2 linked regions of the Oreochromis niloticus genome follow. The protein of the gene in region 1 interacts with the protein of each later gene in a pairwise test. Links are inferred from orthologs where the notes say so. Each region holds a gene or a part of one and is shown in the gene's direction. Other genes may lie near its edges. The genes, in order: pleckstrin homology domain-containing family A member 5 and pdzd11.

Region 1 (15,576 bases):
CCACGCCCAAGGAGGATGCCACACACCTGCAGTGGATCAGCGTCGGCGGAGGGAGCTACTTAATGGTGTGGTGAAGCCTCCACCGACGCGGGATCATTGCGTGAGACTCCACGTTAGTCATCCAGTTTAGGTTTAGTCTTTGAGTGCATGCCTGCTATAGTTAAGTGTCCTGACAGCTGCCACTATTGTTTCCTGCAGGAGGAGCGTGGGAAGCCAGAAGAGCAGCGAGCACTGGGAGTGCAGACACACGGGAGCAGAGAGCACAAGGAGGACACGACACAGGAGTCTGGGGAAAGCACGGGGATTTATTGTTGTTTGGTTCCATGCACTGTAAATAAATGCACTGCTTATACACAGAGCTCTGCGCCTGGGTCCTCCTTCCCTACATCCCCACGGTTTGCCCTGGCAAACCCTGACAGCCTAAGCGAAAACCTGTAGTGATCCCATATGTGTCAGGAGTATCGGAGCAGTTGAGACGCATTTTTTCTAAACACCGGGTCTCTGTGGCTCTTAAACACCAAAACACACTGAAATAAAAACTGGTCCACCCCAAGGATCCCCTGACACAAACATCATTACATCATGAAAACCAAACAACCTCTGGCGAAGCAGATGTCACACACAGAAGGGCTAACTCTTTAGGCCAGGACTCCAACCTCACATTCCATTGTTAATCATTGGTGCTAGTTTTGTTATTTAAATGTACTGTTTATAAGATTGGGGAAACCTGCAGTCAGCTGAGACTGAAGAAGTCACTTGGATGAGTGACGAAATGTTTCTCCCACTGAAAACATCCAGATGAACAAAATCAACTTTCTGGGAACGTAGTCTTAGTCGTCAACTCCCTGCTGCTGGCCGCAAAGGCTTACCGCTCACTCACAGAAGAAGCGGATCACATTCTCCTGGCTACTAGGAACTCCGGCATTCAGGCGATAGTTCCTGACTCACTGACGGCATCTCCCATGCCCCCACCGATCGCGGCACTGCGGAAAAGGGCAGTGTTTTTACCATCAGTGTGACAGCGTCGTGCCGCCTCTGCAGTTTTAAGGCCAGCGCTCTGTAGCGACCGTGATCGCTGGCAATAAGGAAAGTCTCCCCGGACTCGCGCTCGGGGAGATGTTTTCTGGTGACTCCGGCTCCCTGTGGAGCCTCGGGAACTCTCGTGTCTCCTTTGCATACCTCCACAATGGTGTATTATTTCATCTTAAAAAAAATGGGAGATTTCCCGCATACCACCAGAGAGAGCCCAAGTACCACTAGTGATACACATACCACAGTTTGAGAAAGACTGTAATAGAACATTAAAAAATTCAGATGTTTAAGCTGAGACTTTTACAGTTTCACAAAAATATTTGCTCATTGCTCAGTTGAAATGAGAGCAATAAAAGGCTGGAAAAGTAAGTGGTAAAAGGGACTAGCTGGAGGAGTGTTTGCAACAAATTAGATTAACTTATCAACATGGTTATTATAGAGAGTATCTTAAAGAACCAGAATGTCTCAGACGTAAAGATGGACATCCAAAGAAATTATGCCTACAATCTGAGGGACAGTTTCAGAATAATGTTCCTCACAGTAAAATTGTAAAGAATTCAAATATCTCATCATCTTTACGCATTATTTTCCAAAGATTATGAGAACTCTTCCAAGGGATAAAAATCAGTATTGAGTGCTGTGATCTCCAGGCCCTCAGGGGGCACTGCCTTAAAAAGAAGGACGAAACTGTCACTGAAGTCACAATATGGGCTCAGGAACACTTCCAGAAATCATTGTCTGCAAACACAATTTGTTGTGCCACATCCTTCAAACTAAAGAGGATATGGGCCATTTGGCTTGTTATTAGTGCTCAGTTCAAAAGCTTTTCAATACTGAAAGGTATAGACAGGTTTTAGAGCAACATGTGCTCCCATCCACACAATGTTTCTTTCTTTTGTTTGTTGTTTGTTGAGAAGTTCTTGCACATTTCAAGAAGACGATTCTAAACCACAGACTGCATCTACTGCAAAGGGATGACTTTGTAGTAGAAGAGTCTTGATGCTTGATTATTCAATTAACTGGTCAAAATCTACAGTTCTTCCGATTAATTGCTTGTTCCATAATTCTTCATCTACCCGACTGCAATCTGGAAACATTAAATATTTAGGTATCAATATCTCTCCTAAACTTGCAGAATTAACTAAATTAAACCATATCCCACTTTTAAAGAAAGTAGAAGACGATCTGGTTAGATGGAAATCTTGACCCATATCACTCATGAGAAGGGTTGCCACTATAAAAATGATGGTTTTGCCAAAAATAAACTATTTATTTTCAATGATCCCAAGTAAGCATCACAAGATTGGTTCAGATCTCTAGACTCGTATATTTCTAAATTCCTTTGGAAAGATAAACCCCCACGTATCAGCTTAAAAGCACTACAGAGGACCAAGGATAAAGGAGGACTAGATCTGCCTAACTTTAATCACTACTTTTTAGCCAACAGGCTTCACTTCATCTTTAGATGGTTAAAACACACCTTCTTAGACGAACCCTGGCTAGATGTAGAACAAGCACTTTGCAATAATCTCGAGATTTCAGATCTACCATTTATCAGCTCAAACATCCAACGACATGAATGCTATAAAAGCATCAGCATCAGCTCTTCTCTGACAGCATGGTGGGAGTTTCTAAAAATAACAGTCTTCATTAATCCCATGCAAACGTAGACCTATCTGGAACAACCCTGATATATTACAAAACAATAATATGATCAACTTTCCAGATTGGAGTTGTAAAGGAATTAAATACTTAGAACATTTATTAGAAGGAACAAAATTTATTCCATTTGACAGACTAGTGACACAATATGGGATCAACAAGAAAAGATTTTTAGAATATCAACAAATTAAATCCATAGTAAAAAAGAAATTTAATCCAAGTGAAGCTGAAGTACAAACACCACCAAGTGTGGTACAATTTTTTAATCTTAAACCCCCCAAATTATTGTCTAAAATATACAGAACAGTTTCTAAAACAGATGAATCAATATCACTTCCTATTGCAAAATGGGAAGTGGATTTATCAGTTAACTGAGACCAAAACTTCTGGTCTCAGATTTGCTTAAAAACCTTTCAATGGATCAGAAATCCCAATTTGCAATTAATACAACACAAAATACTACATAGAGTACACTATACTGGTCATAGGATGTTCAAGATGGGCTTTACGTCTTCTAACAACTGCTCACACTGTCAAGCCAATACACCGGACAATTACAGCCACGCTCTTTGGTTCTGTCCACCAGTTCAGAAGTTTTGGCGCGAGATATGTGAAGACTTATCAAAGTGTCTGAACCAACTTCCCCTTTAGTGTGTTTGTTGGGCAGCTTAGATTATGTCACTACAGAAATAAACACAGCCCACATTATTTTTACGGCCCTATGCATTGCCAAGAAAATGGTCCTCATTAACTGGAAAAATAAAAATAATCTTAATTCTAACCAATATAAAAACCATCTAATAGATCACATTAGTCTTGATACAGCCTCTGCCATCACATTTGATCAATCCCTCTGGGCTCCTTTGATCGGCTTCATCACCTAGGGGGTGGGGGGTGGGGGTCATGGTTTGGTCCTGCCTTCGCTATTGTGGTTGATATGGGGATAGGGACGGCCTTAGGGCATCTGGGGATTCCCTAGGGACGTTTTCCCTGGAGGACCTAACTCGGGGGTTCTGGCCATGACCTGGTTAGGGGCTCTGGTGGCTCTTAGATGGTGTTTTCCTTGTGGCTGTGTACAGCGGAGATGGGGAGGGTCTGTGCTGGCAGACGTTGGTTACTGGCCTGGTAGCCTGGCTGCCCCTGGGTGGGTCCGGGACGGGCGTGGAGGCTTGGGGGTCTGGGGTGCTCCGCCCCCGGGTTGGGGCTCTGGCTGAGCCTTGGGGCCTTGGGTCCTGGTTGTTGTGTCGCCGGGGTGGTGGGCGGGTGGGTGCAGGGGGGCTCAGCCCCAGTGCGGGGGACCTCTGGTGCATCGGCCCAACTGCAGGGCTCTCTAACTGGTGGGGAGGCTGTTACATCTTTGCAGGAGGTCTCCTCTCAACAGGAGCTCACTCTGCAGGTGCTACTGCAGATAAGGAGGCGGTCTGCTCTCCACCCCAGAGAGAAGGGTTACATCTCCTGGGTCCAGGTACGGTTTGCCCCTCTGGGGGCAGGGGTATCCGGACCTGGGATATAGAGTATGTTTGGGGAGTGTGAATGTGTGTACAGTGTCTATTTGTGTCTGTCTCCACGTTGGGTGAGTGCCGAGTATTTGTTTGTGTATATGGGGGGAATGCACGTTTCTGTCTGCGTGCGCCTGTTCGTCTGTGTCTATATGTCAGCCTGGCTCTTAGACTCCACCTCTCTGGGAACATCTCAGGCTCTCCAACGTATGGAGGCCTATCTCCCGTCACCAAACTCCCTGCCAGTGGCTGATGCCCTCAGACGTTGGTGTGTTGGTGGTTCTTGGTGTCTGGGGCTGGGTGCTCATGTATGTACCGACTCACTCCTGGTGGCCGATTGGCGGGGCCTGGCGCCTGTGGCCCGGCTGAGCCCCTTCCAGGGGGTGGGGTGCCCTCAGGCCTCTGGCCTCTGGGCCTGAGGCCCAGTCCTCTCTGGCACAGCTGGCTGTCAGCAGAGCCCGCAGGCATGTCACTGCGACCCCCTGTGGCCTCTGCTCCGTGACTGCTGGGTGACCTCTCGTTTGGGGCTCTCCTCAGCTCTTCCCAGGAGGGTGGCACATTTACCCCCCGGTGGTCCTCCTTGGGTCCTCGTATTCTGGGGCCTCTGGATGTCTGGGGCCTGGATCTCCTCCATACCTGCTTCATGCCCTGGGGGACGGGGCTATGGCTCCCCACACTCCCTAGCAGATCGTTACATGGAGAAACCTTTTGAATACAAGCGTGCCGATCCACACAGGTGTGCACACGGGTTTTCACAGACACAAGCTACACCTTTCTTGGCTGCTACCTGAAAGCACATTGTGCACTGTCGATCTTGCGTACTGCACAATAACATGTAATATGTAGTATCTACTGTTATCTACTGTTAGCTAGTTTATTGTGATGGTTGTATTTATTATGTTGCTCTGTTTTGTTTGTTTTCTCATCTGTTTTTTCTTATCCCCACACAGGTGATCCAGCTGTTTTGTTTGTTTTTCTATTTTTTTCTCTCTTCCCCCCTTTCTCACCATCTCTTCTCCCCTCTATTTTTCTTTCTCTCCCTCTCTTTCTTTCATTTTTTCTCCCTGTCCTATCCCCCAGTCATGTCTGTCCTGTCTGTAACAACTGAAAATCAAATCAAATAAATACATAATTATAATAAAGGTCAATCAAATGGACCAATATGGCAAGGCCATGATGATCCAATCAGCAAAGTAAATCCGCTTGGCGTCTTTTTTGGCCTTCAGACAACAATTCTGATGGCTAAAGATCCAAACGGGACAGGCAAAAAAAAACAAAAACAAAAAAAAAACAAGAAGAGTCTTGATGCTGAACTGGCCTGCCTGCAGCTGGGACCTTTCAGCTATTATCTGTTTATCAGATAAGAATGGGACTACATTCTTCTCCCAAAGGTCCCACGAATCATTTCCTCAGCTCCCAAACATTTATGGACTCTTGTTTGAAGAAGAGAGGATGCTACTCGCTGATAAATATTTCCCTGTCACAAGTATTTTTTTTAATTTTATCTCTGTAGCTGTCATCAAATTCAAAATGTTTTTTATTTTTTTCTAATTTCTGTCAGGGTCTGGGTCTGTGAGCCAGTGTCTCCAGTTTATTTTTTATTGTTGATTTCTTAGATTTGTGTGTTATTTTTAGTTAAAGGTGTAGTTGAGTTATTTTGTATTTTTGATTACTAATGAGTAACGCTCACTTCTGGTATTATTATAAGTTTTAGTCTAGTTTATGTTTCTTCCACATCTCTTCGTCTGTGTAGGTTGCCCTCTATGTCTACTCTCTCTCTCTGTGTTTATGGCCTCGTCCCCCTTATCTGTTCCCATGTTCTTCTCCCTGTGTTCCTTTCCATTTCCCCCAGTCTGTCATGTAATTCACACTTGTGTGTTCTGCATCCTATTGTCAAGTTTGGTTGTCATGTCTACGTCTCTCCATGTTTTCTGTTTTATTTTGAAAGGTCTAGTGTTTCCATGTTCAGTGTGTTTAGTTTTATTTCCCCTGTGGTGTCAGGTTCATTGTCGTAAGCTGTGTTTCCCCCCAGTGTTTCCACTTCACTCATTACCCTTCTGTGTATTTAAGTCTTTCTCTGATTGATGTTGGGTCGTCTCTTGTCTTCATGTCGATTCACATCAGGTCACAGAGTCGTGCTTTCAACTGTTCAGGTTCATTCTCATGTCATGTTTAGGTTACGTCATGTTCAAGGTTTTAGATGCTCCCATTCAGTTTTCATGTTATATTCTCACGTCATCGTTTTCATAGTTAGTTTAGTTCATTCCCAGTTTAGTTTCACTTCACCTTGTTTTTCTGTTTTTTGTGTATGTCCAGTAATAAAGGCTTGCTTTTTGTTTAAACCTCAGTTCATCTCTCGCGTGTCTGCATTTGGGTCCACACCACAAACACACCGGCTGCTTAGCCGTGACAAATTTCAAACATTTGATAAGGTGCATATGCTCTTTTTGAATAAAATATGGATTTATGAGACTTGTAAATCATTAAATTTTGCTTTGATTTATATTTCACACACAGTGGGAAGGTTTGCCCATATTTTCCAGCTGAAGAAACGAGCTGCTGCAGCTCAGTGCTGGTTCTGATAAAAAGGTGTCACAGGGTATCACAGTTTGTTGTTTATGGGGCTGCACAGCCAAAGACCTGTCAGGGTGCCCATAATGACTGTGACAACAATGAGCATCAGAAGTGGACCATCGAGCAAAGGAGGAAGATGGCCTGTTCTGATGAATCATGTTTGCTTTTTTCACGTGGATGGCCGGGAGCTTGTGTGTCACTTACTTAGGAAACACAGTCTGATGCTCTCGGCTCTGCTCTGCTAGGAAACCTCGGGTCCGGCCGCCCATGTGGATATTACTTTGATATGTACTGCTGGCGTCAGATATCTACTTTATATTTGGATTTACAATTAATTTCATGTTTGGTTTATAATTCATGGATTCTTGTAAGTTACATAATTGATCTTTTCAGGATTAGCACATTTGAACATTTAGGTTATGTTTACGTAAGGTAATGATATGGCCCTGTTTGTGATAGGAATCAAAAGAGGTGCCCACCACTTTAAGCATGTAAGTGCAATGGCAGCATGAAAACCTTTGTGGTTTGGGAAGAGGAGCATGGATGGAGAGCTAAGGAGTACACAGGTTGTTCTGGATAAATGTCTAATTTTTTTGAACGTTATGCTTATTTTGGAAGGAGTTCATTGTTACGGCTTTAGTTTGTAATAAATAAAACAATCTTCAAGTCATAATTCAACTGGAAACATTTCCTTTTGGAAACCAGGAACAGGCGTCAGCCACAGACTCCTTTTTTGAAAATTTCCCTACATGCACCACCTACCTAAACGTTGCTGCAGACCATGTGCACCCTTTCATGGAAACGGTATTTTTCCTTGGATTCTTTCACAATAGTATTATAATAATATCATGCCTGACTGGTATGAGTACAACTCCATTTACCGTATAAGTGGTGAAAAAACAATACAACATATTCACAGGGAACGTGTTCTTGATTTGCAGAGAAGGGCAGACCTAAGTGGAAATAGTTTATCATATACGAAACGAAAGAAGAAGAAACAGTGTCAATATTATTTAGTGCACTGTAAAAAGCTCGTGTGCGGACGGACAGATGAAGCTACGTATTAACTGATCAGCACGCGCTGGAACGTTCACCGGCGCCAGTTTAGTCACACGGCTGCCAAAAACGAGCCCACCGGTTCCCCAGGCTTGTGACAAAATCGTTGCTTGCATCTTTATCTTTTGTGCGCGTTCGCGCATTTCCTCGAGGCGCGCACAGGATGGAAGTGCGCGCGCGCTTGGCACGGAGCCGCGCACTCCAGCCCATACCCGTAGTAAAGCAAAGCTCCAAACTAGACATGGCGGCGGATCCTCAGCCGGACTGGCTCTCCTGCCTTCCCTCTTCTTGGAGTTATGGGGTGACTCGGGATGGACGCATATTCTTCATTAAGTAAATATGACGCGGATACACGGATTTATGGATACCTACTGCTTTTTTCTCCGACGCATTCTTGTTTGGGGTTTTTTTCGGGTTCTCTGTTCACCTCTCCCTCCCCCGTTTTCTTTCACCAACAGCGAAGAAGCAAAGAGTACAACCTGGTTGCATCCAGTCACAGGAGAAGCTGTCATCACGGGGCACAGAAAAACCCCAGGTAATACAGGATGTGTTTTTTCTACATTCCTGCGAAAATCCATGCACAAACGCACGCACGCACGCACGCAGCGCCTAGGAAAGGTTATGTGCGCGTCACGGTGGAAAAAAGGGGCGACAAGTTGCAAGTGAAAGACGACGGGGGTAGATTTCTTCTCTGCAGCAAAGCAACAGTCGCCCCTCTCCGCTGTCGGACCGTTGCGCACGGCGTCCCCCCGCCATCCCCACCCCACTTACCCCACCTGGACACTTTGCGACACACTTTTTAAAAGTTATGTCACGTAGGCTTTTGCCGATTTCCAAGCGGATTCCCTGCAGTGACATTTGATACATACTCCGCTTTGCTGCAGAAACCCAGTATTTCCAGTCACCACGGTTGATTATAGAACAATGCGGTGCGGCTTGTGAGTCAGCTCAGAGACGATATTGCCCCCAAATTTGCACATCTGCCGTGGGGAGAAGGTTTTTATTGGGTGCATGCACATTAATGGTGTATTCCACCAGCGTGATACTGAGCAGGCAGACGCACACAAAATGATAAATTCTGCAAGAGGGAGGGGGGACGGGATTGATTTAAAAGGGCGCAATCCAAACGAGATATTACGCTAGAAAAACTGTGTTGCTGTTTGATTCGCTGTCTGTGTGCACCGTTCCTTATGTTCCTGCTGTCTTGTGTTGTTTTTCTTTCCCTCCCTGTCCTCACAGATTTACCAACAGGATGGGAGGAAGGATATACATTTGAGGGAGCTCGCTGCTTCATCAAGTGAGTTGGAATGTGTGGCATGGAAAAAACATAGATAGGAAGACACTGATGGATGCAGAAAGGGATGGAGACGGGTTAGGTGGCTTGTCTTGGGCAGTGGGGTGCTGCTTTGTGTGGTTGGTAAGCTCTGAGATTCCCTCCACTCTTCCCACCTCTTTGCCTGTCTGCCCTTTTGGAGGAATTCCCAAATCCTTCTGTTTAGCGGGCCTGTAATATGCACACACATCATTACCCACACATGTAGAAAACTGATGTGACTGAACAGCTCTTCACCTCTGTCTCTGTCTCATAAACACACTCACTCCAGTGAAGGGATTTACCCAAGAACAAGTCTGTACTGTTAGTGAGGCACAAGTTTGACAAGCAAGGGTGACTCAGACGTTGCTCCACTGTGCTTAACAGGCTCTACTTGTTGGTGTGCGGTGTGTCTGTTGTGTATGTGTGCACCCACTCCAGGTTTATAACCGACTCCAGGAACCTGTGAGCTTTTTGCACACATATATTAGTTTTTTGCTGTGTTTGTCTGGCAGCTCTCTGATCACCACAGATACACTTTGATTTTCTTCCACCTATTTTCACACTGACTTTTACTGGAGCTGCTGGTGCTATCTGTGGATATTTTGAAAGCAGCAGCTGACACATGCAGTGAGCTAATATAGCCATTCTATAAATAGACCAAACCTGGTGCTCATTTGTATGTATACATGCATGCAGAGTGTACCCATACACATCTTCAGTGTATTAATGCATGCACATGGGCATGTAAACCTGCAAGCACAGTTCCATGTGTTAAGCATTACATGCTTGCACAGTTGGATAACTGCAAATGCAGCCAGAGCATTTTAAAGAGGTTGGGATTAGATCAGGACACATTCAGAGGTAGTACAGAGAGACATGAGTGTGTGATGGTGCTTGGATTGGGAGTTGTAGAATACATACACGTTTTTACGTTTTTCACATGATAGGAAAGTAAAGAACTCATGCATATATTCTGGCTTTCATTGTTTGTTGGGGATGGCACATGTCTCTAATGTTTTCTGATTACTTACTGACGTTTCGTTTGCTTATCGAGTGCTATCGAGCTTTTCAAGCTGGTGTTTGATATATGCAGCCAAAAGTGTTTATCGAGTGTCACTGATCATTTTAATGGAATCACTACATTGGTACCATCATACTCTACCAAGTATTATCTTTTGTTTGGAGTAGCTCCTGTTGTGTCGTTCACCAGTTGGACAATCTAAAGAGTCAAAAAGATGGTAAACGGACTGGTTCTTCTCTACTCTATCTGAGCACTCAACACACTTTATACAACTGGCCTCATTCACCCATTCACCACCTAATCAGACAAGCACTTTGTTCTATGCTTTTTCTACTGATGTGCTTTCTATCAGACATTCACACACATTCATGCTCCAGTGGATGTATCGGAGAGCAGCTTGGAGTTAGTATCTTACCCATTTGGCATGCAGACTGGAGCAGCCAGAGATCAACAGACACTAACTCAGGACAGTGGACATAGACTCAGATATCTTCAGATACTTTTCTCATATTTGGCACACAACAAGAAGCAGTCCATGTGGGGAGCATTTTTCACAACCCATAAATGCCGTGGCCCACCTGGCTAAAGTTGACCTGAGCTGGAGCATTTTTTTCCCTCAGTTCCATTTTATTTATACAGCACCAAATGACAACAACAGTCGCCTCGAGGCACTTTGCTTTGTAAGGTAGACCCTATGCTAATACATATAGTTGCATTGAATAACTTAACCTAATTGTAAACTATAAACAGGTTTAATAAAAGATTAAAGAATGAAGCAAATGGTATAACTCACTATTGTTTTACCTGTTTGTCTGAGATCTGTCCAATTATGTATACTAATTAAGGACTGCTTCAGCTTAGCTATACGCTATACTTTATTTAAACAAAAACTGAAGATTTAGTTACCAAGACAATGCAGCAAATTGTGTGTACCAGTATAGCTGTACTGAGCAGGTGACAGGAGGAGACAAAGTGGTCAAAGTCGGTCATCTCTGGAGACTGAATGAAACCAATCCAAATGTGAAGTAAGATATTGGCAAATTGTAAGTAGCCTGTCTAGCTGGTGGGTGCTCTGATAACTGAACAGTGTGATTTATTTTTTGTTTGTGTTCTTAGAGGACAAAATAAATAGTGATTACAGGTGGAAAAGCTCATTTGGATATTAAGCCATAAAAAGCAACTTCTGTGCTGTTCTCGAAGTGGCGTACTCGGCTGAAGGCGAACATTCATGCTGCCACATTCACAGTCTTGAATACAATGAGAAGCATTTGACACAGAGCAGCCACGCTAAAGGACACTGCATCATCACCACTTCTTCAAATCCCCCACATTCCTCTCAAATTCCTCTTCGGTCACTTTTCTATTAGTCCATTATTGGAAGTGTTTCCTCACAGCTCACGCTTCATCAGTAGCGTTGAAGGGCATTTCTGCTCTCTGAGTTTGTGATGGTAGGTCATTTGTCCCCAGGCTGAGCTTTTCAGGGTCAAACACCTTCTGCTTGGGTTAATCTCCAAGTTTCCATTTTGAATGTGTTTATATCCTCATATTTATAATTTAACTCACTTAGGAATTCTTTAAGCCTGAGGTGCAGACATGTTGGATTACCTGGAAACAAAGTCCCTCCTTAGCAGACAAGAATGTCTCCTAAACCGTGTAAATAACCCTAAATACTTTTGTTTACTTGCATCTTATTTTGGCGGTTATCCCCATTATTCACTTGCTGGGATTAACTTCCTGTTGGAGTTTTGATGCTATTATTTTGAAGGAACGACTTCCTGTATAACTGTTGTCAGTGCAGTTTGGCGGCAGTCGGGGGAGGTTGGAGAGGGTGTTGTAACGGAGCTTGTGGAAGTTTATTTTGTCATTAGCAGCCCCGTTGATGAGGCACAAATGTGTGGTTATGATGTAAATAAGTACATGTTTAAATATTTTATGTGACAGAAACTGTACATTTGTTAAGTTTGTTATGTAGAAGGTTAAGTTATTTTATGTTGTAAAGGTTTAAGGTTGTAAGAGTATGGATTTTAACTTTTTATTTTACGCTTTATAGTCTTCATTCAGGGGAGTTTGCTAAAAGCAGTTTAGAACCACAATGACTGAAAGTGTGCAAACCTCGAGTAGAATATGAGGCAAGCCTCTGGCTATACTCAGCCAAATGCTAGAAAACTGAATAGACAGTACTACACTGTAAATATCTTTATTAATCAGCTATGTACCACAGGCCTTCAAGCTGGCTTAAACCTTTACATAAAAAGCATCTCTAGACCCAGCTGTCTTAGCTAATTATAGGCCAATCTCCAACCTTCCTTTCATATCAAACATCCTTGAAAGAGTAGTTGTCAAACAGCTAACAGATCATCTGCAGAGGAATGGCTTATTTGAAGAGTTTCAGTCAGGTTTCAGAGCTCATCACAGCACAGAAACAGCTTTAGTGAAGGTTACAAATGATCTTCTTATGGCCTCTGACAGTGGACTCATCTCTGTGCTTGTCCTGCTAGACCTCAGTGCTGCGTTCGATACTGTTGACCATAATATCCTATCCGGTCTTTAAGTCTGACGTCATTAGCCGTGTCTGGGCCCAAACTCCGCTGCAGGTCCCAAAGTCAAACGAACACTGCAGCATCACAGAGAGTTAAAAACTGTCTAAATTCTTTCATCTTTAATAAAATGATCAGCGTTGCTGCTTTACCAGGTGTAACAATTAAGTTTAACATCCAGGCATCCATGAAAACAGGATTTATTACATTTAACAGAGTTAGAAGTTAGCAGGAAGTTAGCTCGCTAGCTTCCACCTAAACATGATATAGCATGTTCTGACTGAGAGATTTCTGAAACATTCAAACGTACAGCTCTGCTATCACTTCCAACATAAATGAAGACAGAAAACTAAACAGCAGTGACGTTTGTAGGGTTACTGAAGTTGGGCTAGCTGCTATATAATGATGTGCTACGTGATCGCTAGCGACACAGCTATGTTAGCATAGCATAAACACAGTGAAGCTGGAGGGTGAACGCTAACTTTTTTCCACTCGATAAAAGTTAACGTGAGGGTTCCCGATGGTTAGGGACAAATGCGATCGCATGGCAGGATGCTGTAAACGGACCAAACTTCAGTCAGGAGAACAACTGAGATAATCCATCCACAATACGAGGTTAGTCATTAATATACTGCTGCATGGGCTGGGCTGTAGTTACATCGTAAGGGTTTAAATGCTGAGCTTTAAAATGAACAGTGGTAATAAAAACCGAGAGAGGCCGACAGTGATCACTGACTGTTTTTAGGGGCTTGTTCAGATTAAATATAACAAGATACAAAACATTAAAACATGTTAAAAACAAAAAAGCCTTAATAAACGCAGAGTAGTTTGGGCCCGGAAGCAGGATTCATCACGACATCCCTTAAAGACTGGATTAGAGCGATTAGAACATGCTGTAGGTATTACAGGTACTGCACTGCAGTGGTTTGTATCATATCTATCTAATAGACTCCAATTTGTACATGTAAATGGAGAGTCCTCTTCACACACTAAGGTGAATTATGGTGTTCCACAGGGTTCAGTGCTAGGACCAATTCTGTTTACATTATACATGCTTCCCTTTTTTTTCACTGCTATGCAGATGACACGCAGCTCTATCTGTCCATGAAGCCAGGTAACACACACCAATTATAAACTGCAGGAATGTCTTAAAGACATAAAGACCTGGATGGCCGCTAACTTTCTGCTTCTTAATTCAGATCAAACTGAGGTTATTGTACTCGGCCCTGAAAATCTTAGAAATATGGTATCTAAGCAGATTCTTACTCTGGATGGCATTACCTTGGCCTCCAGTAACACTGTGAGGAACCTTGGAGTCATTTTTGACCAGGACATGTCCTTCAATGCACATATTAAACAAATATGTAAGACTGCTTTCTTCCATTTGTGCAACATCTCTAAAATTAGAAATATCCTGTCTCAGAGTGACGCTGAAAAACTAGTTCATGCATTTATTACTTCCAGGCTGGACTACTGTAATTCATTATTATCAGGATGTCCTAAAAACTCCCTGAAAAGCCTTCAGTTAATCCAAAATGCTGCAGCAAGAGTCCTGACAGATACTAGAAAGAGAGAGCAGATTTCTCCTGTTTTGGCTTCCCTTCATTGGCTTCCTGTTAAATCCAGAATTCAAAATCCTGCTCCTCACATACAAGGTCTTAAATAATCAGGCCTCATCTTATGTTAATGACCTTGTAGTACCATATCACCCTATTAGAGCACTTCGCTCTCACACTGCAGGCCTACTTGTTGTTCCTAGAGTATTTAAAAGTAGAATGGGAGGCAGAGCCTTCAGTTTTCAGGCCCCTCTTCTGTGGAACCAGCTTCCAGTTTGGATTCGGGAGACAGACACTATCTCTGCTTTCAAGATTAGGCTTCAAACTTTCCTTTTTGCTAAAGCATATAGTTAGGGCTGGACCAGGTGACCCTGAATCCTTAAAGTCTGCACTTCAGTCATTTGATTTACAGTCCACTATGATGGTGTTCTAATGCAAAACTCAAGGACAAAAAAATGTCCTTGTCCAAAACATGATGGAGGGCACTGTATAAATGTGGCATGTTCTTTGTTTTTAGACTGAAGAGTCTATCATGCTGGTCATTAGTTAGTTGGTGTGCAGATTAACTAACTTATGACAATGATTTTTTTTTTTTTTTTTTTTGTTAAAGGGTGTGAGTTTTAAATCAAATTGTATTCAGAAGATTGAAATCATACAAAGAAAGTTATCTCCATGGAATCATATGAATGCTCAGCCTATGTCTTAGGAATAAGCAAGTAGTTTGAAATGCCAACAAAACTTTCCCAGATGATTCTTTACCTTTTCTTTCTTTCCTATATTTATTACCGTCAACAGTCTCTGTTCTGCAATCATTGTATAGTGTACTAGAGGTCTTTGACTTAAAGTTGGGGCATGCTTACAAAGTAGGTTGTAAAATTATATTTGAATGATAAATATATTTATGATATTTCAACACTTGAAGGAACAAACAAAGCCAGTTGTAACAGTCCAGCCTTTGCTTTCTCAACCTTACTCAGCAAACTGCAGACTGGCAGTCACACAGCTGCTCCACCACTCAGAGCGAAACACCTGAGTAGTAGTTGACGTTCCCGACACCAAATACTGAACACTTTAGAAGAATTTTGAGAGGTCGGTACATCTCCTGTGTCAGCAACATCTGAAATTTTAAACATTTATGAATTTCAAATTTTAAAATATAACCAGTACTTCTCATCTGTAATGTTAAAAGGATAACAGAGTTTTCTGTGTCGAAAAAGTTTTACATTTCTCAGAAACACTCTGTGTGTGTGTGTGTGTGTGTGTGTGTGTGTGTGTGTGTGTGTGTGTGTGTGTGTGTGTGAGAGAGTTGGGGGGCTTGTTGCTT
Region 2 (15,907 bases), on another chromosome or scaffold:
CACAACATTTCTCCTCCTCATCCACAAGCGTAGGAAACGCAGATCTGGTTTTGTGCCGTGCGGACACTGAAGAAGCTAATGCTTTTCTCTGGATGCAGTGACGAAGTTTGGGCTGATTGATCTCACCAATCCTGTGGTGTGCTGGAGGGAAAAGAAAAAGGCGACTGTGACAGAAAGCAAATGAGGGGGTGATGGGCGAACTTTCTTTGGGGTATTAAGGCAATCCCTGCTCAATTACCCCCCCCACCCTCCACCACCCCCAACTCCCACCCCTCAATAGAGCCTGTGTCTAAAATAGCAAGTGGGAAATAGTGGGAAATTCCACCCCTTCTTATGGGAGTTTTACCTGGAACACAAACATATGTTTAGTAGACTTCACTCCTGTTGTGAAAAAATAAAGTCACCGTTGAAAGCAAAGCCTGTGGAAAAGCAAAACACAGCATGAACAGTCTTTATTCCAGCTCTGATACAAAATATGTGCACCTTGTACTTGGGTGTAGATACAGTGTTTCTATGAGGCCGTATGCTGTCATGACCTCTTGTGCCACCTTACCTGTCAGCTGGTTATACTAATTTTTGTATCTTTGCATGGATACCTTTTGTAAAAGAAAGCTGCTTTAATATGAACATGAAACTGGAAACATTACGATGACCACTCCTTATCCATGTCGTTTGTGTACAGCTTGGCAAATTTTTTACAGTTTGATGGAATATTCTGCACCTCATGACTTGAGCAACAAACTAATTCTAATATAATTTTGGAGAATATAACCGTTTATCTTATAAAAAAGATTTTTTAAAATCTTTTTAAAGACAAAATCAAATTGTAGACACGTGTGCCATAAAGAATGATTCTTTTTAGCTGATGTTTGTACTTTTAGTTGTAACCCCAATAACCCCCCCCCCCACCCTCCACCCCCCCAACTCCCACCCCTCAATAGAGCCTGTGTCTAAAATAGCAACTGGCTGCATTTACAATGGCCAACACCATGGGGTATTGAAAGTGGTGCACAGACCGGCCTGAGAGTGAAGTCAGACTATTGGACACGGTGACAGGCACAGCCATGCGCAGAGAGGAGGAAATAAAGTGAAGACGACAAATAGTTTACAAATGGAAAGAATGAAAAAGAAAATGACATAAACTATGACAGAAATAAAAATGGTTTGGCTTGCCAGACACTTTTACATTGAAGTGAAGTAAACTGTGAACGGGTCACAGCAAGATTTCCGTCAACATGTTGGGGCTTATCATTCTACAGTTGTGTCAGGCTTTGGTCCCCTTTCTTGAAAGACATGGGAATTTACACACAATGTCACCCACTGAAACACTGAACAATAAAGGTTTCTATTGTGCACAGCCAACTCTTCCTTGTTAAACTAGATCCCTGGAGTTTTGCCAAATATTTCTTCACCTGAATTGTTCTTCTTGTTTTTACAATGAGGTGACAAACATGTTCAAGGTGAGAGCATAATAAACTTTAAGTAGTAAAAATGAAACCTAAAAAAATCACTCTAAATTATTCTGTAAAAGAAAATGGCACACTGCAATCAGCATTCTGAAATTAGGACAGAGTTGCCAACAAGAGCCTGTTTGGACAGATCCACAGGTCTAATTGTGACATGGAAATGTAAGAAGGCTTGTTTCACTCCAGAGACACTTGCTTTACCAGGAAGTTATGAGCTAAATATTGAGCAATAACCGTAATATGTGACCAACCACGCCATCAGTTTGTGACTAAAGAAACAAAAATGTCACTTAAATTCAAAGGATAACTGAAAGTCACAGCTGAGTTCCTTAAAACAGTGTCCTTTTCATGCCCCTGCCTAATATAGTAACTGGAAGCTATCGCTGTTTATCTTATGGCATTTTTATTGCTGCTCTAAACCTTATACTAAGCGCCACTTCAGACTACAAGGAAATCCTCTCATGGTGGATAAACCCCAAGAAATCCACAGCGCACACTGCCACCTGTATTGTTTGGAAGATTTAATGATATCGGTCAGACACACCTCTCCAATTTGTTTAACCAACGTTTACACTGTTATAATGTAAACTGCAATTAGGCACACGAATGACGTGAGCATGCTCCATTAATAAAAAACTGATGAGGAGTGAAATTTTCAGGTAATTGTTTATAAAGATTCCTTTTTTTTTTTACCCCACTAGATACAGATTAAGAAGAATATTAAAAAGAAACAAACACTATCACTTATTGCTTTCACACTCTCACTGTCTATGATCTGTCTCATCTTTGTAGGTTTTATTTCCTTTTTGGACAAAGATTTATGCACTTCTTTACTGGGCTTCCTTTATTAGTTCTATCATTTCTATTTCAATTTATATCCAGGAAAAAAGGCTAATAATGCAACATTTTATTAAGTCTGATTTATAAGCTCTCAGCGACCCACTTCAACAGTCACGCAACTCAGGAACCAAATTTTGGCAGAAGTTATGAATAAGACGTAAATAGATTTAGTTCTAAACTTAGGTCAGCCAGTTGTGCAATCTTGCACTGCTCAAAAACAAGAACACTTGAAAAATGTTAATACTGATTTGGATTTGGTTTCCACTGACATCATTTTGCTTTCAGCTTGAATGTTTCATTCATCAGATCTGATGTGTGATTTTAATACAGGCCATTTACCATTTTAATGCCCCCTTAATTATATATTTTTTCTATCTACGTTTGAGTTTTCATTTTATTACTGACATCTTAAAAAAAGTGCTGTTTAAAATGCTCTGATATTATTTGATATTTCCCATGTGTCTCACACAGTATGGGAATAATGTTGGATGGTCCTAACTGTTCCGTTCATCTTGCTGGTTTTCAGTGTGAAGTGTCACAATCATAGACTGTGTATTATTATTTTGGCTGATGTTAAGTCTGACAGACAAGCAAATAACAAACCTGACAATTGCCAAAGAGGGAATCAAATAAATACTAGAAATATAACCAGAAATCACAGGGCAATACACAGATGACATGATGAGAAAAGAAGGCTGATGCGGGAGAGACAGGTGACGGCAATCAGACAATCAAGACGGGGAAGTGAAACTCAAAAATTAGAGATAATGACAAAGGAACGCAGAAACAGATAACTGAGGGAAACAGCACAAATAGTAAACTCCACAAATACTAATCTAGGATTAAAATATAGTTCACACACACAAACTAAAGCATGACTCACAATGGTACGGGGAGAAAACAGACAACTAAAGCTCCTCAGAAGAACAACAGGGGAAACCGAGGATAAAGGGATAGGGGAATATGCTGACAAAAAGACTGAACAATAAACGCCGGAAAGACAAACTCAGACTTCATTATATTAGCTGAGTGCTCACAAACCAAAACAAGACAAAAGAGTCAGGTGCATGGCACTTTACAAGGAGAAATCTATGTTTGTGGTGGCTTAATGAAACTGTGGAACTGATGCTAAGTCAATGATTTCAAGATGACTCAACAGGCAAAATGATTTCGCTTGAGTCTGTGGGGTCCGCGGGGCTTTGTTCATAAACTGATTCATCCTTTGAATCCGGAGGGGGAAACAATTATATATTTAATCACTTTCCTACGCACTGATTTACACGAATAAGTTGCTTGTCGTTTTTAAAACATCTATCTGTCAGGACACTAATTAAAATTAGATCTGATCCTATTACTCTGCTGTTGTCTCCATGTAAAAATTCTTCCAAAATGCTTGTTTTTAACCTAGATATCAACATGTTATACACCTGTCCATGAAGGTCACTGTTTGGTGACCATGCGTCCTATTGAACACATGCCTATTTCTTATTCAACGTCTTCTGGATTGATGGAATAAACGGTTTGTATAAATCCAAGTTCACACATCTGTAGTAATAGTATGTAGTCAGAAGTTGTGAACCGCTGTAGTTATATTTGCACTTTTTTCATCTTGTGAGTTCGTTCTTGTGCTCGCTTGGATCTGGAGCGCTTGCTCACATTTGCAAGCGCTTTACTCCAGCAGCTTATTGCATTCTGTACAAAACACTTCTGAAAACTAGAAAGTTTGCATAATACAGACTATGTACCTGTGCAGGTATTGTCTTATATATTTCTAAGATCGGAGACGTGTGTGCGCACATTTAATTTAAACACGTTGTTCGGAACAAAAACCAATCTCTCTGTCTGTCTGCCGCAATAAAACCCATGCGGTAAGCTTCCCGACAAATTCAAACCGACTCACCAGTCAATCTAGGTCACGGAGATCGGCGCACGCTGCGAACTGGCAAAGACGCGCCGGTCTTGGAAAAGCCCCTCTGCCGCCACTCTCTCTTTCCACCATCCCGTTTACTTGCCGTGAGTCTGTGGGCTGAATGTAAATGGGGTGCATGAATAGGGACGGGCTAGGGGTGTACCGCCAAAGTGAGGAAAGATAGTGTGAGAGAATACCTGCACAACCTTTTGGAGGGCGTCCGCGCCGTGGCCACGCCTCATCCAGTTTCTGATTATGATTTTTCTAGGTACCCAGACATTAAAAAAAAGAAAAAAAGAGATAATACGAACCGACATAATATATTTAAATAGTCCTCAGATAATTTATATATGAATATAGGTGAATTGTCTTTTGTGTTTCATCATCTGCTCCTATTGTAAACGAGCCCATTTCCAGTAAACTCGCACTGCGCTGTTCCTGAAGCAGCCCGGAGGCTCCTCACCTACAGGTGACAAGTGACTTTAGATTGTTTTTTATGATAATTTCTTTACGTATATATGGGCCTAATCGACAAATCTTAAAGGGGTAAAAGAAGATCTAGCTGGTCAGCTGCAACATCATCTTTATTTATGTATGGATGCATCAACAGTTACTGTATAATGCGCAGATATACATGACCCATGCATCATCCTGAAAAAGGCTATCTGATGCCAGATTGTTTTCGATTCTTTCGGGTTTTTTCCCCTGTTTGTTATCTATTCATCAACACGCTGTAGTTTCTGAGTCAATTAGTGAGTTACTGTCATATGTCAGAATCAGTGGACTATACTTCCCATTGCATGTGTGACATTTTGAATGCCTGCTGTACCAAACTCTCTTTTTTCTAAGGATTCCCTGCTCTGTAGCTGAATAGTGTTCAGATGCTGATTTAAAGAAAACATGCCCTTTAAAAAAAAATTTGTTTGCAATAAAAAGAAGAACATTTGCATTTTACTGCATTTACTCACACAGAACAGAAAGATATGTGAGTTCTTAACTGTCAGTAAAAAAAAAAGGGGGAGAGGTGAAACAACATATAACTATGTTCAGTATGTAGTAAGGGCATCATGCTGTGCAAGCATGTTTGCCCATAGATTCTCACCACCTCAAACATAATGCTCTAACTTACATTCTAACAGAAGAAGAACCATCCTCTTCATTCATGTGCATCTTTCTATATATCTATCTTTCATTAACCACACTCCTACATGTGCTAATCCTTCCTCCTCCGTATTGCCCCTGTAAAATATTTATATGAGTGAGCGCGTACATGTCAAGCTAAATAAATATGTTTTACCTGATGTTTATACCTGCGAAATAACTGGACGGCATGTGGGTGATGTGGGAAATTCCACCCCTTCTTATGGGAGTTTTACCTGGAACACAAACATATGAGTTTAGTAGACTTCACTCCTGTTGTGGAAAAATAAAGTCACCGTTGAAAGCAAAGCCTGTGGAAAAGCAAAACACAGCATGAACAGTCTTTATTCCAGCTCTGATACAAAATATGTGCACCTTGTACTTGGGTTTCTATGAGGCCGTATGCTGTCATGACCTCTTGTGCCACCTTACCTGTCAGCTGGTTATACTAATTTTTGTATCTTTGCATGGATACCTTTTGTAAAAGAAAGCTGCTTTAATATGAACATGAAACTGGAAACATTACGATGACCACTCCTTATCCATGTCGTTTGTGTACAGCTTGGCAAATTTTTTACAGTTTGATGGAATATTCTGCACCTCATGACTTGAGCAACAAACTAATTCTAATATAATTTTGGAGAATATAACCGTTTATCTTATAAAAAAGATTTTTTAAAATCTTTTTAAAGACAAAATCAAATTGTAGACACGTGTGCCATAAAGAATGATTCATGTACTTTTAGTTGTGCAAGAGTAACGAAATCCTGTCAACTATGATGTACTGTTTTGACAACTTCAACAGTCATTTGAGAATTAGTCAAACTGAAAAAACCTGTATTGGATGGTGTACCTTTTCTCAAGTAAAAATCAGAATATCTGATTTTTACAGCAGTGTTAGAACTAAGTCACGCAGGCATAATGTACTCTGATGGTAAATGGAAAGGACACCCTCGCTGTAACATGTAAGGTTTTACACATCAGGGCATAAAATTAAAATGTGTGGTCTTTAGTTGGTCCAAAAATTAGATAAGCATAACCTCAGATAATCAACAAAACATGACGTTTACTCTGTGTTGTCACTTATTTAACAAAAACTTGGTCAAAATGCAAGAAGCAGCGTGTGAAAAACTCAGCATGCCCTAACTGCTTTCACAGGAATCAAGACTTAAAATAGCTGCCAGGTGCTGCTAATCAAACGCACTTGATTTATTGATCCTTGTAAAAATCTAAGCACCTCTATAAAACAGAGTTTTTGGCAGTTTGCTGGTATGGCGCCTCCAGGTGTGTGTTAACACAATGTCAATATAAAAAGACATCGGTGATGATCCTGAAAAAGGAAATTCTTGCTCAGTCTGGGAACGGTTACAAGGTCATTTCCAAACAATTTGAAACCCATCATTCTATAGTGAGAATGATTATTCAGGGGTGAAAAACATTCTAGACGGCTGCCAATCGTCCCAGGAAGTGATGTCTGACTAATTTCACCTGAAATCCAGACAGCGGGGTACTCAGAAACTGCAATAAACCCTGGAGCTACATCTCAGACGTTATAGGCCTCAGTAAGCAAGTTAAATGTTAAAAATCTTGACAGTACAATTAAAAAAACTGAACAAGTCTGTTTTTTTGGGGTGGGGGAGGATCTCCAGGAGAAAGTCTCTTCACTTAAAAACCAAAAACCTAAAACATGATCGCAGGGCTCAAGTTCTCAAATTTGCATTTGATGAAAGCACATGGCTTCTTGATCAATGTCCTTTGGAGAGATGAGACCAAAGAGATGCTTAGCTATAATCCTCAGCACCACTTTTGTGTATGGACCCCGTACTTAGTTTTTCACGCACTGCTTCTACACATTGGCTTAGTTTTCTCTTAAATAAACAATGACACGCTATAACAGATCCTTTGTTGTTGCTCATCTCCCGTTGTATTGACCTAATCTGAAGACTTTGGTAGGAAATAGATGATTTTGATTATGTCCTGATATATAAAAGTTTAGAATTGACAGAAGGTGGAGTTTCTTTTTTCTTTTTTTACTATGACTTTATTTAATGTTACTTTGGTTATAGTAGTACTCCAGCAATGCTCCAGCAACAATGGAACTCTTGAAAGTGGTTTCGGTATGCTGACATATTTAAAAACAAAACAAAAAAAACTGAAAAAAACTTGCCATAGTTTTGTTTATCTATCTTGCGAAGTTTCTGTGTTTTTCATTCCAATCTGTCAACACAGGTTTCATTTCATTTAATTGCAATGTGCAACTTGCAGAGACCTGAAGCCTTCTGAAACAAGCTCGGTGAACAGTAAACACTGTGCATGATTTACCATCGTCAAAGTCATTTCTGAGTGCTGAAGCCATTGTTGATCTGCGATAATAAAAAAATGTTCACGCTTCACTATTTGGCTGAAGATGATAAATGCAGTTACAGAGTATGCACTATAAAGCTTTAACATAATGGAGCCCATATCACGCGTCAAGTTTCTGCAAAGCAACTTCACACAAACTTTCACACAACGTGGGCACATTTCGCAACACACATTTCTCACTTGGTTTTCTTTCTGCTTAAGTTAGAAAGAAATGCAAACATATGCAACTGCAGCATATAAGGAATATAAGTCACAGTTCACATATAGGACGTGCGTGATCTTAATTTCTGATCATTTTTTCCCCACATAAAATTATATGTAAGAATATGACTATCCGGACACGGGACAGGGACATAAATGATGAGCAAACATAATAAATATGTCTGTGTAGGTTCTCAGTCATCCAGATCATGGCAGTCTTAAAAATTTGGCTGATAGGATGATGCATATGATCACTAGTAGGTCAACTACCCCCACAGGGTCAACCACCACTAGGGGTCAAATACCTGAGACTCTCCACCTTTTAGAACTGAAGAAGGCCCTTGGATAATGTGCAAATCAATACAAAGAAAATATATTTTTGGTCAAATTGCAAGATATCACAGAAGTGTTTTACAGACTTCCCGGTTGATTTTCCAGCTAGCCGCCATTAGGTTTCTCCATCTGCAAGAGCTTTCAGGAGGTCGATATGCAGCAAAACGTGAGAGCTTGTAGAATAAAATGTGAGAATGTAGAATTTTTGTTAACCTTGTAACTTTTTCACACACTTGTTTTTCACATTTACAATTGCAAAAAGTATTACAAAAACTTGTAATTTAAATTTGTACTCATATTTATTCACTTTTTAAGCTACTTACAACTTCAACTCTGTGATTAGGACCTCTGTAATCAGTGAATAAAGCTGTTCAATTGCGCCCTCTCGAGTCACCAATCCACGAATTCACGCGCTTTGACTTTTGTAGCTGTTCAAAGCGCGAATACGCCACAGTGCTGTCGGACGTCTTGTAGTAACTACTCCACACCAGGAGGGGGCGATAACGCACTATAGCTGCCTGCAATTGCTTACAGCAGCAAGTTTACACTGCTAGCCCTCTGACTGGCAGGTGAGATATATTTTTTGTTGTTTTGTTGCAGTCATTCATGTTTTTCAATGCTAAATGATCCAAGTGCATTTATTTTAAAGTTCCTGTGATAATAATAGCGCGTGTCAAAGTGTTTCCTGTTTAATAGAGCAGAGCTAGCTCGTTTACAGTTAAACAGTAAGCTAATCGTGGTGCTAGCTCGGGATGCGTTTGCGTGTTATTACCATATGAAACTGTCCACTGTGAGATAATTTCACACGTTTATTTTATCTCGCTTCTTTCCCCTGATCCACATGCGTATTTTTTTTTTAGAAGATATTTCTAAGTGTTAGCCATATAACGTCCCTATTCGGACTTGGTGGCTAACCTGTTACAGAGTTGTGAACGCAGCTGTGTTTTTAGCTGATGTTTTGGTCTTCTCTGCTCTTTATGCCTTATCTAAAAATGATACATGCAAAACCGGGTGTAATAATGTGGGTACATTAATGCCAAACCCCGGTGAATGAAGGCATTACAGTCATGGAATAGGGACTGACATTATATTGACTTGAAGTTACGTGTCCGAAACCACAACACAGTAGAGACACCGGAGCTCTTTAAATCAGCGGTCTGGATTTCGGGGATTTCCCTTTAATTTGTATCAAGCAGTCCAGTGCATCCGTAGTTCATAACAATGAACTGTTATTCTCTTCTCGGTAGGGAATTTTAGCAACCATGGACCAGAAAATTCCCTACGACGATTACCAGCTGCCAGTGGTATTCCTGCCTTCTTATGAGAACCCGCCTGCATGGATACCTCCACAGGAGGTATGGCAGATATTACTCCAACTAACCTTTGTGCTTAAATCATGTGCTAAACATTTTGTACCTTATTATATAGTGTATATATTTATATTTTTTATCTTTTCTACTTTAGTTATGATTTATAGGTTGTGCTTAATGTTTTGGCTGCTGTAAAACCGTCTTACAGTGCCGGAAAATTGTATTTGCCCCCTTACTGATTTCTAACTTTTTTTTTTATATATATTTGTCATTCTTATATGCTTGGGATCATCAAACAAATTTTAATATTTGTCCAATATAACCAGAGTAAATACAAATGCAGTTTTTAAATGATATTTAATTTATTATGAGCGAAAAACTATTCAAACCTACCTGGCCCTGAACATGAAAAAAGTAACTGTCCCCCTTGTTACGTCATGATGAACTGTGATTAACCACATTTTTTGGGTTCAGTTCATTAGACCTGTTGAATCAAGAAATCACTTAAATAGAACCCGTCTGATAAAGAGAAGTGGGCCTAACGATCTTTACTAAAAAGCAAAAAGTCATCATCTAAAGAAGCTCAAGAAGAGATGAAAAACAAAATAATTGACATCCATCGGTCTGGAAAGAGGTACAAGGCCATTTTAAGGTTCTGGGACTCAAGTGTACCACGGTGAGAACCATTATCGACAAATGGGAGAAGCCATGCAACTGTGGTGAACCTTCTGAGGAGTGGCTGACCTACCGAAATTACTCCAAGAGTGCACTGATGGCTCATCCAAAGGGTCACAAAAGAACCCAGAACAACATTTAAAAAACTGCAGGCCTCACTTGGCTCAGTTAAGGTCAAAGGTCATTATTAAACAATAAGAAAGGAGAAAACCACTGCTGACTCAAAAGAAGGGTTGTTTCACATTTGCCATAAAATATTCTTGATGATCCCCAAGACTTTTGGGAAAATGTTCTATGGGCTAATGAGACAAAAACTGAACTTTTTGGAAGGTTTGTGTCTCTTTACATCTGTCATAAACTAGCAAATCATTTCATAAAAAGAACATCATACCAACAGTCAAGCATAGTGGTGGTAGTGTTTATGTCTGAGGCTGCTTTCCTGCTTCAGGAGCTAAACGATGTACCGTAATTGATAGAACCATGAATTCTTCTCTCTACCAGAGAATCCCGAGAGAATGAATGGCCATCAGTTTGTGTCCCTGCTTGAGCAAACTTGGGTTATTTAGTAAGATGACGAAACACTCCAGCAAGTTTAACTCTGAGTGGTCCACAAAGAGTGCAAGAGTGAGTCAAAATTCCTTTACAGTAATGTGAAAGACCCATTGCCAGTTATTGTAAACACTTAATTGCACTTCTTGCTGCCAGGGGTGGCACAACCAGTTATTGGGTTTAGGAGGTATCTACTTTTTCACACAGGGCCTTTTTGATAAATGACATCATAATCAAATATGCATTTTGTACTTGGGTTATCTTTCAGTAGCTGTTGCATGTTAAAAATTGTTTCATGTTCTAAAATATGAAGGTGTCACAATTATGGGAAAAAAATAAATCAGGAAGCGGTAAATACTTTTTCACAGTGCTGTATCTAAAGTATCTACTGGTAATTTTACTGAATACTATTAAGTTTATCTGAGAGTCACAAAGATTCTTGGTTTTTTTTTCTTGCTACTGCTTTTTTGTAGCTTTTAATGGCATCTTCCATGCCAAGGAATGGGGCTTCCCAATGTAACGTGATAATAGGTGGTCACATACAGGTTGTAACCTGTAGGTGCACGCACAGTCCTTGTGTCACCTTGAGGCTTTTCTGTCTGTCATGGTTTCGTAGTTGGCGCCTTTAACTCCTTTTTTCAGTTAGTGTTTGGGTTTCAGTGAGTTCCTGAAGCCTGTCTTATATGCGTTTGGAAATCTGACAAGTAAAGAGGTGTTGGTGCCTGACTGCAAATGTCAGGACTGTGCAATACCATTACATGTGCTACAGAAAGCAAATGGGTGGATATTTTTTGTGAATGTGCTGTTTCCAGATTTTGTTATCCCAATGAAAACACCTTTTTTTGTTGTTGTTGTTGTTGCTGAGCTGCTTATTTTCCAAACAGGTGATGCTGAATGTGTATTATGCGATGTGATATTCTACAAGGCGGTTCACTCTCATCACATTGTTTTTAAGGCAGAAGAAGCAAACTTGGAGAAACTAAATGTCGCTGGCTGTTCTTCTTCTCTTGGTTCATTTTTAGCGGGTTCATCATCCTGACTATAACAATGAGCTCACACAGTTTCTGCCTCGCACCATTGTGTTGAAGAAGCCTCCAGGAGCGCAGCTGGGCTTCAATATCCGTGGTGGGAAAGCTTCACAGTTAGGAATCTTTATATCCAAGGTGCGTGCACAGCCCTGGTTATTAGTATGTTTTTTTTTTTTTCTTGCTGTGCTGCTGACTATTTGTTTGCCTATTTTTAATCAATTTAAATAATTTCTGTGTGCTGGCAGGTGGTCCCAGATTCAGACGCCCACAGAGCAGGGCTGCAGGAGGGAGACCAGGTTCTTTCAGTGAATGATGTTGATTTCCAAGACATAGAGCACTCAAGAGTAAGTCGAGGCTGAATTTCAAACAGGCTTTATTCAACACATTGTCTCCAGCACACACTTACATATTGAAATCTACTGTGATATTCATAAATCTGATTTAGTTTAGATGTATTTCTATTCATGTATGTACAAGACTAACAAATAGCTTCACATACTGTGCTGTGCTCTTTAATCTTCACTATAGTCAGAACATATTCAAGGCGGGGTTGCTCAAGTAATCCTTAATGGTGATCACGATAATAATTTTTTTGTCAATATCAAGCTCACGATTACAAAAAGTGGGTAAACTTTAATTTGGTGGAGTGCGGTATAGGATAATCCAGACATATTGTTTTACTTGTATTTCAAAATTTCAAGAGTTGAAAAAATCGATACCTATACCCAGGAAAATACTTGATATTAGATACCCTTTTATATACTGTGGGTGAGATTTTTACCCTATCCTGCAACAACAACAGTATCAGCAACGAGGCAATTTATTAAATTAAATCTAAGTTAGATTTAATAAAGTAAGTATTTACACATTTTTAATTTATTTTCAGAAATATCCCTACACACCCACTGATATTTGGTTGAATGTCTCTTAGCAAGTTGCACCTCAACCAGATGCTTTTGATAGCCATCAAGAAGCTTTTTGGATTATTCTTTTTATTATTCTTGGATTATTAGTTTCACACTCATTCACACATTGTGGCTATACTTGTAAAACAAACTTAACCCTGTCATGAACGTGGTCCTGTTCTTGAATTATTCTGACGGATATTTGACCACTGTTCTTGGTGGAATTGGAGTTCACTTTTACCATTAAAAATTACCATGACATTTATACTCACAATGAGCATTATATATAAGAGCATCTCAAAACATTTGAATATTACGAAAAAGTTCATTTGTTTTTGTACCTTCATTCAAAAAATTATGGATTATAAGTCATGAAAATCAGAAGTCCACTATCTCAAATGAGTAGAATATTTCAGATTAAAAAAGGATTTGGAATCTAACTATGTCCAGTTTCTGAAAAGTGTGTTCACCTATTCTTTCAATACTTGGGCAATGCTCTGTTTCCATGATTTACTGCATCAGTGCAACGTGACATGGAGGTGATCAGTTTGTGGCACTGCTGAGGTGTTACTGAAGCCCTGGTTGGCCTGGGTGTTTGTTATCTTCCTTTTGACAGTGTGCCATTGATTCTCTGTGGGATTCAGGTCAGGCGAGACGGCTGGCTGTTCAAGCACATTAATAACATGGTGAGCAAACCATTTGGTAGTTTTGGCGTTGTGGGCAGGTGTTAAGTCCTGCTGTAAAAGGAAATTGGCATCTCCATGAATCTTGCCGGCAGTTGGAAGCATCAAGTGCTCTAAAATGTCTTCTTCCAGAGTTTAGGAACTTGATTTCTAAATGAAACAAAAAAATTTACTTTCATGTGAAAAACTTCCAACTAAGCTTTGAACTGATGTCAAAGCTGCTCCTGATACACTGACACCAGCCTCAGTCCACTCCTTGTGAAGGTCTCCCAACTTCTGGGATGGAGTTATCCTGGCAGTCCTCTCAGAGCTGCGGCCATCCCTGTTGCTTGTGGATACTTTCCTACCATGTCATGTTTTTTTTTTCCAGCCAGGTTTCCATTGATATGCTTTGACACAGCATTGACCAGCAGGTCTTTTCAGCACTGGCCTTCTGTGGTTTGCCCTCATCATGGAAGGCTGTCAGTCAGCAGACTTCCCCCTGATTGTGGTTGCATGAACTGAACGAGAATAAAAAATGCACTGTATTTGTACCATTTGAACGGTAATTTGTTTAAACTGATATTGAAATATTGTGGTAATTTGAGATGCTGGATTTCTGATTTTCCTGAGCTGTAAGCCATAATCATCAAAATCAAAACAAAAAAGGCTTGAAACTTTTTTCCCTGCATATTTTTTTCAAGCATGAATGACTTTCTATAAGAGAATTACAGTGTAAGCCATTCTGGCCATAATCAAACCGCTGTGAGAAATAATGACACACCAGATGCACCATAATTGTTTTGTGTTCTGTTTTGTTTTGTTTGTTTAAAATCAGCAATGCTTGAGGAGATATACATTATGCTTTTATTTTGAAAAATGTAGTTCCTGTTGAAGCATGTAAAATATTTAGACATTTAATCTAATGTGTAAATATTAGCTTTTTTGAATTTTGACATGTAAATGCATGTTGTAGCATTAATGTGCAAATACAGAAAGCATCTACTCACAGATACTTTCTGTATTTGGAAACTTGTCAGGAGGACAAGTTTTTGCTTGTCCTCCTGATCTATCTGCTCTTCCAGTGAAACAGCAGATCTCATACTAAAAAAATGCAAGATTAAGTGGAGCCAAATGTTGCAGTTTTCTTTTTGTTCCATATCTTGTTCATCACAACATTGCGTTATATTTTCTGTTTAAGATCATGGATAATGTTTGTCTTCTTCAGGCTGTAGAGATTCTGAAAACTGCGCGAGAAATCCTGATGAGGGTTCGCTTCTTTCCCTACAGTAAGCGTTGGTTTACTCGATTGTATCAGGAGCATGATGACAACCTAAAAAAACATTTATGTCAACATGTGTTTTTATCTCAACTGTTAAGATGTTTTAGAGAGATGAAGAAAGAAAAAATTGTTTTCCTGAAAAATTTGTGTTCATGGGGATCTTGTAAGATATTATTTTAAGACAGATCTACACTTAATGTCCTTAAATATTTGAGTCTTGTTTTGCTGTTAGGTTAAATGCTCAGAGGAAACTGTTGTGCTCACTTTGGGTTTGAAAGCAGGTTTTAGTCTGTGCCTTTTACTAGTCCTCAGTGTGCTAATACAGCATGTGTTATATATTTAAAACATGCTGAATTTCTCAAGAATTTGAACATTGTCAGTATGCCATCGTGCCATCATAATAATAAGATTATCATCTGGCTTATCTGAGTGCAAAAACAAAAGACAATAAAAACTTTAAATCAGTAAAACTTTGAGCTATGTCATACTGATACAGAAATCTATAACAGTGCCCATGTCAGTACTCTAATGGTGTCCTTTGTGGGTTGTTTTATCAGACTACCAAAGGCAGAAGGAGAGGACCGTACACTAGATGGCAGCAGAGAGAGAGACAAAGACAGAGGGATACTTAACTGCACTTCGCTACAATCCTCCCACACACTCTGGCCTCCATTCTGTCTCAGCTTCAAGATGACTAATGTATGACTAACAATCTCATTCAGTCTTTCATGTAAGGAAAATATACATGACGTTAAAGACTGAGTTTCATAGATACTCCTTTCTGCATGCTTCACATGATGAACTCTACTTCGATTGAATATATGGTTAGGAAGTTTTAAAGTTTCTATGCAGAACTTTTTTTAAGACTATAAATTAGATTTTAAACTATAAATTATATAGAACAGATAAATAATAGATATTTTCTGGTCAAGCAAAGGATTTAAAGATGACCTTTCCCACATTTCCTCGAGCCCTGTTATGATATTTCTGCAGATGTTTGCATATGTGTGGACGAAACACCATCACTTGATATGAGTTATGGTCACCAGACCTCTGTTGAATTTATGAATATATTGCACAATGCTGTTTTTTCATATTTAGTAAATATTTGTAATTGTGTATGAAATGCTAAGGGATGTAAATATACATTTCAGTCACTGCTACTGAGGGGTTTGGTACTTTTATGTTCCAGGCACGAGTTTTACATACACTGCGCGTGAGCTGATTTAATGCTGTTGCATAA

Evidence for each region.
Region 2: the proteins of pleckstrin homology domain-containing family A member 5 (region 1) and pdzd11 interact in binary tests that used the Homo sapiens proteins (3 or more experiments, as listed by UniProt). The two-hybrid records come from large-scale screens. The link is inferred for Oreochromis niloticus from reciprocal best matches to the Homo sapiens genes PLEKHA5 and PDZD11.

What each region holds. Positions count from the first base shown.
Region 1 is NC_031981.2:426,191-441,766, reverse strand, and holds the start of pleckstrin homology domain-containing family A member 5, read left to right. Parts: upstream 1-7,945; 5' UTR 7,946-7,986; coding exon 7,987-8,156; intron 8,157-8,281; coding exon 8,282-8,358; intron 8,359-9,062; coding exon 9,063-9,120; intron 9,121-15,576.
Region 2 is NC_031966.2:19,888,057-19,903,963, reverse strand, and holds the start of pdzd11 (PDZ domain-containing protein 11), read left to right. Parts: upstream 1-8,683; 5' UTR 8,684-8,822; intron 8,823-8,997; exon of another isoform or gene 8,998-9,408; intron 9,409-9,500; 5' UTR 9,501-9,515; coding exon 9,516-9,608; intron 9,609-11,809; coding exon 11,810-11,950; intron 11,951-12,060; coding exon 12,061-12,159; intron 12,160-14,583; coding exon 14,584-14,671; intron 14,672-15,221; coding exon 15,222-15,256; 3' UTR 15,257-15,907. Other genes in the region: glycerophosphoinositol inositolphosphodiesterase GDPD2, read right to left, coding at 1-8. UniProt on the Homo sapiens protein: Mediates docking of ADAM10 to zonula adherens by interacting with PLEKHA7 which is required for PLEKHA7 to interact with the ADAM10-binding protein TSPAN33.